2 linked regions of the Coturnix japonica genome follow. The protein of the gene in region 1 interacts with the protein of each later gene in a pairwise test. Links are inferred from orthologs where the notes say so. Each region holds a gene or a part of one and is shown on either strand. Other genes may lie near its edges.

Evidence for each region.
Region 2: the proteins of RIC8A (region 1) and guanine nucleotide-binding protein G(i) subunit alpha-1 interact in binary tests that used the Homo sapiens proteins (3 or more experiments, as listed by UniProt). The link is inferred for Coturnix japonica from reciprocal best matches to the Homo sapiens genes RIC8A and GNAI1.

Annotation. Positions count from the first base shown.
Region 1 is NC_029520.1:1,396,345-1,400,840, reverse strand, and holds part of RIC8A (synembryn-A), read left to right. Parts: intron 1-180; coding exon 181-228; intron 229-1,547; coding exon 1,548-2,162; intron 2,163-2,724; coding exon 2,725-2,819; intron 2,820-3,236; coding exon 3,237-3,387; intron 3,388-4,135; coding exon 4,136-4,231; intron 4,232-4,457; coding exon 4,458-4,496.
Region 2 is NC_029516.1:10,240,701-10,244,644, reverse strand, and holds the start of guanine nucleotide-binding protein G(i) subunit alpha-1, read left to right. Parts: upstream 1-1,144; 5' UTR 1,145-1,507; coding exon 1,508-1,625; intron 1,626-3,944. UniProt on the Homo sapiens protein: Guanine nucleotide-binding proteins (G proteins) function as transducers downstream of G protein-coupled receptors (GPCRs) in numerous signaling cascades.

The sequences.
Region 1 (4,496 bases):
GTATTCATAGGTTTTTTAACACTCTTTGCCTCTTTGATTCCCTGTGCTGGTAAAGACTTCTTGAGAAGGCTTACTTGTCTTTATAGAGTGCTTTTCAGAGTTGCTTTCCAAGCTTATTCCCTGTTTGGGAAAGGCAGATTTGTGGATTTTTAAACTCATACTTTCTTTTCTGCTCTACAGAAATCTCAATGCTTTACCTTTGATGATGAGGAACGGGAGGAGAGGAAGGTAGGCGTGCTCTTTGGCTTCTTGTTCTTGTTGTCCTGTAGATGGTGGCTGGGGATAAAAATCAGTATTCTTCCAACATTAGCAATCCCTTTGGGTTTGGTGATGCATATGGCTTCAGCAGCATGCATGAGAAGCATGATCCTGTGTGTGTGTGTGTGTGTGTGTGTGTGTGTGTGTAAATGGTGCAGTCTGCTAAGCAAAGATAACAGCAGCATGCGGGTAAGTGCTTCTGCTGTGAGCGAGCTGCAGGATTTGACCAAAGCTGTCTATTAACAAACCCTTTAAGCTGGAATAATCTGGCACTCAGTGGAAAGAAATACCCCTGTCCATTTCCACTCGTGGCATTTCTCTTGTGCTGGGGCAGGCCTTTGCACGGCTGCACTGCAGATATGCTTGGTAGGATCTGCTTTAGGAAAGAACATTTTTCTTCTATCTCTGTTATTCTCCATCTGGACCAGTTTTGTGGTGGGTCGTGTGTGGAAGCAGGGGATTAATGGTGGAGTGACGTGTTGCTATGTGTAGTTACAACCTAGCTGCACTGGGTTGTGTGAGGCTTTACCTTTCGCTCTTGTACTTTTCCATGTTTGCTATCATGTATGTTATTGTTATCCACAAGGGTTATATCTTCAGCTGTGGTAAATCAGTGTTACTGGAGCTGTCAGTCTGTACCTATGAAGGGGTAGTAGGTCTCCAGACAGCACTGAAATTTATGGGAGGTCCTTTTTATTTGAATCTTCTGAGGTCTTTTCCCCTCCTTTCTTACCACATCACACACAATTCTGAACCCATTAAGTTCTTTTTCCCCTCCCACAGCAGTTCTCTGGTGTCAGCCTCAGCAGCCTGTTTGGAGCACCCAAAGCAGAAGCTTCTCTAGTCTTAATGCTCTGGGTGAGGCTGAACCACTGCTGTTGAACTGAGTGCTGCTTCTCAGTGAAGATATAAGGGACTTTTTTGCACTGTTCTCTTAGCTTATTGCAGCTGTCAGGTAATCCATATTAGCCAAAACCATCCTAACCATGGGTGAAGCTAAAATAAGCAGTAGTTCACTCACTCAGCAGCAGCTGCCTGTTCCTATTCTTCACTTAATTCTGACAGCACTCCCCAGCCATTCTTTGTCTCTTGCTGGTTGTCCTTGCTTGACTTGGGTCAGCATCAGGTGCCAGAAGCAAACGCTTTGAGAGCTGCCTGTTAGAAGGCCTGTATCTAGATGATGCTTTGTATCTAGGTGATGCTCCTAGGTGTTACAGCATGCTACCTTGCGTTGGGGCTGCACTGTGAAGTGTCAGCATGTGTGGCATTCTTTGTTTCTAACCACGCAGAAAATGGCCCAGTTGCTGATCAAGTTTCTGGAGAGAGAGCTCCAGCCATCCTGCCAGGTCACGTGCTTGGAAAGCATCCGCATCCTGTCACGGGACAAATACTGCCTTGAGCCTTTCAGCACCGAGGAAGGGCTGAAGACCCTATCCAGGCATGCTGGCATTGATTACTCAGAGGAGCTCATCCGAGAGGTCCCGGACTTGGAGGTCATCCTGGAATCCCTCAAATGCCTCTGCAACATTGTCTTCAGCAGTCCGAGAGCACAGGAGCTGACAGCTGAAGCCCGGCTGGCAGTGGGCCTGACAAAGCGCATCAAACTCTACAACGAGAGGAGCCTTCCTCATGAAGTCAAGTTCTTTGACCTGCGTCTTCTCTTCCTGCTGACAGCACTGAGAGTGGATATCCGGCAGCAGTTAGCCCAGGAGCTCCGGGGCATCAGCCTGATGACAGACACCCTGGAGCTGACTCTTGGTGTCAAGTGGATGGACCCCTATGAGGTTGCCACTGAGGAAGGATTGCTTCCACCTTTGCCTCGGCAAGAGACAGAGCGAGCCATGGAGATCCTGAAAGTGCTCTTCAATATTACTTTTGATTCCAGCAAGAGGGAGGTGGATGAGGTAAGCTCCTCGAGTGTTGCACCACACTACATTTGCTTGTCTACTCTTATGTTGTGTTAGATACTAGCCCCCTTGCAGCCTCTGCTTGCATGTAAGGGTAGCAAGAGACTTGTGTGTGTGGACCTTGTTCTGCAGGGCACTGCCTCTGATGCATTAAGACTTTACAGCATTAAGACCTGTAAGTTGGGCATTTTTCCTTCTTAATGATATTGACTTGTGCAAGTGGGAAAGCAGAACCCCCCCATGTACACATAACTCACTTGTGTGTGTCCTGCTGCCTTTCACCTCTGGACAAAGTCAGAAGGAGGTCTGATATCATGTCTATTTTATCCCTGTGCCCACTCCTGGGCCTCTTCCAGCCCCTGACTTGGTGCTGTAGGGCAATGGGGAAGATATCTGGCAGCAGATGGAGAATCTGGAGGATAGTTGCACATATACACCCTGCTGTCAGTGAGCAAGTTGTTGGAGGGGAGGGATGGGGCTGTGGGTTGTAGAGACAACAGGCTTTGGTTTGTGGAGACCCTTTTCTGATCAAGGTTTCCATTTTCTATTTTGGAACCAGGAAGATGCTGCTTTGTACCGGCACTTGGGTGCACTCCTGCGCCACTGCCTCATGATCTGTGCTGACGGAGAGGACCGGACGGAGGAGTTCCACAGGTCTGTTAGATAACTACATAATGGCCTTCACTGGACACAGACTTGAGGTCTCCCCAACACTGGCCCTGCCTGACAACAGCCATCAGAGTATGAATGAGTGATGCAGCAGGAGACTCTAGAGACCTACTTGGTCCTACTTGGCCTCTGTGTCAAGGTCCATTGTTTTTCTGTTGTCACTGAAGAATTTTTGGACTTCCAGCAAGTTATTCAACTATGAGGGTTGGGGAAGGAAAGCAGTTACACTTGCTCAATTCTAGTGGTATAGGTAGCTTGGGATCCAACCCAAAGAGAGTTTGGGTCTGTTTTCAGAGTCCTCTTGATCCTGGAAGCTAATAATGAACCTTGATTCCTGTATAGTTGATGAGTTTCTGTGAACAAAGATCCTTGACTATGTATTCACCTCTGTTCTTTCTTAAGCCACACAGTTAATCTTTTGGGCAACCTGCCTCTGAAATGTCTGGATGTTCTCCTGACTCCAAAAGTCCGTCCAGGATCACTTGAGTACATGGGTGTCAACATGGATGCAGTTAATATCCTGTTGGATTTCTTAGAACGGCGCCTTGACAGGGTAAGCTGAGAGGCTGCTGTACAGAGCTTTTCACTGCTGGTTTACACAAGCTCACTGCAGGGCACAAGGAAGCTTGCATTCAGCCTGAATTCAGTATAGAAGTGGCAGTTCTAGTTGGTTGGACTAGAACATTTGTGAACTGGGAGGGTTGCTGTGGCACTGTTGCTTTGGCAGGTAGTGAGACTGACAGAGCCAGCAGATGGTTAGCTGTGTGATTCAAATACAGGTGCTCTGTTTCACTCAAGTCAATTATGATTTGTTGGGCAGCTGAATTGGTTTGATACAGCCAAATCTCTTGACTGGTGGCTTGTTATGATGCTGTCCCCACAGTCTGCTGTCAGAAGACTGGCAGTCATAATGTTATTTGTCAAGACCATTCATCTTTCTTTCCTCCTCCTAAGCGCTTGTCCTCCTCTGTTCCATTGCTTTTGGCAGCCTGATTTTGCACTGTTGTTAAGCTAGTGGCCATTTTCATTCTCTGGAGTTATTCCAGAGGGTCTCCAAATTTGACTGCTGCACTTCTCTGCTCTAGATGTTCTGTGTGAGTAGAAACGCTGAAGAGAGGGACACAGAAAGCCTTGCTGTTTGAGGAGTGATGAAACACTGAATTTCCTGTAGCAGAAGCTGTTGTTACGTCTCAGTGCCCCTCTGTTTCCCTGTGGTTCAGCACTGATGGTCTCCACCATGAGCCAGGGAAGTTGAGCTCAGTGTAGCTGATGCATTGCTCATCTTGTGAATGCTTCTGCAGGGACATAAGCTGAAGGAGAGTCTGACCCCTGTGCTGAACCTGCTGACCGAGAGTGCCAGAGTCCATCGCCAGACAAGGAAGTTCCTGAAGGCGAAGGTACATCATGGGTTCAGCTGAAAGTCAAGTGGTGGTGCTCTGAGGAGAGAGGAGAATAGCAAGCTACCTGAATATTGCCATTCTCTAAGGAGACCTCCTCTCTCTCTTAGATTCAAACATACATGAGGTTGTAGCCCATAGTTGTATAATGCACGCACTTCTTTCCCTGCATACCCTGTGGTTGCTGTTCCAGCTCCACTGATTGCTCCTTGCTGTTGCCTTGTAGGTGCTGCCTCCACTGCGGGATGTGAAGAATAGGCCAGAG
Region 2 (3,944 bases), on another chromosome or scaffold:
TCACCTGTGCTGTCAAATGCTCTACTTTTAGAGCCCATTCCGTGAGAAAAATAAGTAACCTTAAAGGCTCACTACAGAAGACAAACCTGAATGTAACATGCTTGTCTTGTGCTTGCATGTGACGTTCTGACTGAAACTTATCCTTCAACTCAGAAAGTTTTGTCTCATACAGGTTCTGTGGTACTGTACTGGGTTTACATGGTGACAAGAAGGAGTCGCAGGGGTCACCCCTGAGCACAAAGCCGAGCACCCTCCCGACATCACATCATATCACACCAGCTGCTCCCAAGGCCTCTGCCGCGGTACGAAGGAGGGGAGGTCGGATGATGGCTGTCAGCAGTGAGGCAGCAGGAGGCGACAAATAGCAGGTGGAGATATTAGCAGCCATAGGCTACCAGATGATCAGGGGGCTGGAGCACCTCCCCTATGAGGACAGGCTGAGGGAGTTGGGTTTGTTCAGCCTGGAGAAGAGAAGGTTGCGGGGTGACCTCATTGCAGCCTTTCAATACCTGACGGGAACTTACTCCCAGGAGGGGAGTAAACGCTTTGAAAGGGCTGACAATAGCAGGACACGGGGAAATGGTTTTAAGTTAAAAGAGGGAAGATTTAGGTTGGATGTTAGGGGGAAGTTCTTCACTAGGAGAGTGGTTAAGCCCTGGAACAGGCTGCCCATGGAGGTTGTGGATGCCCCGTCATTGGAGGTGTTCAAGACCAGGTTGGACGGGGCCCTGGGCAACCTGATCTAGTAAAGGTGTATGTTTGGTGGCCCTGCCAGGCAGGGGGGTTGGAACTACATGATCCTTGAGGTCCCTTCCAACCGGGGTCATTCTGTGATTCTGTGAGACTATGCCTAAGAAAGTCGGTCACCCTACCACAGGCGGCTCTCAGTCTCCGGAACAAACCCTATAGGCATTAGCACAGCCTTCACTGGGCGTTCCCTCCTCAACGCAATGGAACCTCCCGCTAAGAGCTATTTAAATTCAAGCCCTCAGCACCATCCCCGCCCTTACCCCCCGCCCGCCGCCAGGTGTGCGGAGCTGGGCGCTGACGTCACACACACGCACGGCAGCCTGAGGTTCGCTCCGGCCGCTCGATGCTGCGCGCAGGCGCACTGCCGCCCGCCCCGCCCTCCCTCGCGTGCACGCGCACGCCCCCTTTCTCTCCCTCCCGCGGCGTTGTGGGCTGTGCGCGCCGCCGCGAGCAGCGGAGAGACGGGGGTGGTGTACAGCAGAGTCGAGGAAGGGGCAGCGCATCCCCGGGGACGGATCGAGGGAAACATCCCCCTGTTTCGTTGTGGTGTTTTTTTGTACAAATTTGTGGGTTTTTTGTTTTGGTTTGTTTTTTTTTTCTTCTTTTTGCTCCGCTCTTCCCTTTACTTGCGCTTCAGGTGGGGAAGGAGGGAGAAAGAAAGCGGGCGGGCTCTGCTCCCCCCCCTCCTTTTTTACGCCTCTCCGGAGCTCTCCGCTCCCCGCTTCTCCCCGCGGCGAGGTACGCAGCCCCTGCCGAGATGGGCTGCACGCTGAGCGCCGAGGACAAGGCGGCGGTGGAGAGGAGCAAGATGATCGACAGGAACCTGCGAGAGGACGGCGAGAAAGCGGCCAGGGAGGTGAAGCTGCTCCTGCTGGGTAAGGGTGGGCCCCCCCCGGTCTGGCCGAGATGCGGAGCTGTGAGGGCCGAACCGGGGGCGGGGGACCGCGGAGGTCCCCCAGCATCGCTCCCCCGGGACCGGCGGGTGGTGGGGTGGGAAGGCCGCTCGTAGATCCTCGGAATCCGCTCGTGGATCCTTGGGGGAGGAGGGAGGGGGAGCGCAGGTGGGCGCGGCGGGGCTGCGGGCCGGGCCGGGGAGCGGTTCCGAGCTGTTGGGGCTTTGTTTAGATAAGGCCCCGGCTCCCCAAGGGGAGGGAGAGAGATCTTGTACTTTTGATGTGGGTTCTGGGTACTTCGGTTCCGAGGAAGGGCTTAAGGGGATTTCAGGTTGGGGGATGTTTGTTTCGTGTGGAACATCCCCTTCTGAACTGTTGCTGTAAGAGTGAAGTGGGAAAAACATCAAAGCAACGCGAGGCGCCGTCTGACTTCTCGCTTCGTTTTCTTTTGGAAGTTGTTTCTGCTGCCGAACTTTTACAACATAAGGTCAAACCTTGGTGGGGTTATAAAGTGTGTAATACTGGGGATCACTGGAATAGGGTGATGAGGAGCTGCACGGAGAAGCAATGGATTCCCAACCTCAGGATGTGCTCGGGGTGGGATTGGATGGGGCCCTGGGTCCTGATCTGATGAGCATCAGTCCTGCACAAGGCAGGGCATTGGCACTGGATGGCCTTCAAAGTCCCTTCTAACCCAAGCCATTCTGTGGTTCCGTGCTACCAAGTCTTCTTGATTTTACTCCCAAGTTCTTAAAACTGGCAGCTTTGTTCATTTTAAGTGATGTTTGTCTATAAAGATAAATGAAGTAAAATTACTGCTAAAAATTACTATGAAAGAGGAAGAAATCTCTAATTAGTAATGTCTTTGTGCAGCTCTAACTCTACTGTACGTGCTGTGGACAGCTGAATCCTGCAAGGCATATGATGTATTGATGTTACGGGGAGTTTTGTGTTATGCTTTATAGCTGAACTGCTCTGGATCCTTTTAACCCATAATTAAAAAATAATTAAAAATAAATAAATAAACATGGAGTTTCAGTTTTCCTTGTGCTGCTCATCCAGAAGCTACAGTTCCAAGGAAGGTTTCTGTTTATAAAGTAGTACCCAATTTTTTCTTCTCCATATATTTGTTTTCATGGAGTGCTTCCTTAAGCATTCTATTTAGTGCAAATCTTGCTGTAGTAGAACTCTTAATTAATTAACTTCTATCTGTTCCTTGTAAAGCTTGTAGCTTGTAAAATAGCTCCAGACAGGTCCAGGGAACTGAAGCACTTCCTTCTGTGTGTCTGTGAAGAAACGAAACAAGCCTAGTATAGGTAAAGCAAACTTCTGAAAACGTGTGTATAGGCTTAAAGTTCTGCATATGAGGGGAAAAAAAGCTTTTCGGTTTGCTTTCTAGAAAGTGTTAGGCTGTTGGTGTGCTTAGTCCTGTACAAATTCATAAGCCTGGAGTCTGTTGTGTGGAAAGGTTATCCTCTGATCAATAGTAATGCACTGCAGAAAATGTCCTTTTTCAAGAGTCACAGAGTACTGCTCTGTGTGTACTCTGACAAGTCATTAGAAATGGTTTTTCAGAGTTCTGCTGTTCTCTACTGAGCTTTAAATACTACATAGGTAGTAGTTATGCTTTTCCGTGAGTATGGATAAAGTCTTCTATAAAAGTTGCGTTAAACTTGAGAATGAGCTGTTTACAGTAGCTTAATATTCTTGGATACAAATTCATATGATAGTAGCTTTTTATATAAATTCTATCTGATATAGATCAGCTTTTGGGGGAATTGTTTTCTGCTGCAGTCTCCTGAAATCTTAGGATATGAAACTAATCACAGAATCACAGAATGACCCAGGTTGGAAGGGACCTCAAGGATCATGTAGTTCCAACCCCCCTGCCTGGCAGGGCCACCAAACATACACCTTTACTAGATCAGGTTGCCCAGGGCCCCGTCCAACCTGGTCTTGAACAGCTCCAAGGACGGGGCATCCACAACCTCCCTGGGCAGCCTGTTCCAGGGCCTAACCGCTCTCCTAGTGAAGAACTTCCCCCTAACATCCAACCTAATCCAAACTAATGCTCAAATACATGTGTTTTCTCACAACTCAACTCAGTGTAGCGTTTTCCATTCAACTGTTAAAAAGTGAAAATGAACAGATCAGGAACTTTCAGGGCCAGAGCTGAGAGTAAGGCTTTGTGTATACATCTATGGATACATTTATACATTTCAGATCCTAATGGAAGCTTTTCTGTTCAATTTCCTGTGTTAGCTGTCCTAAATGTTGTGTGAATGCTTTATCTGATGGCAA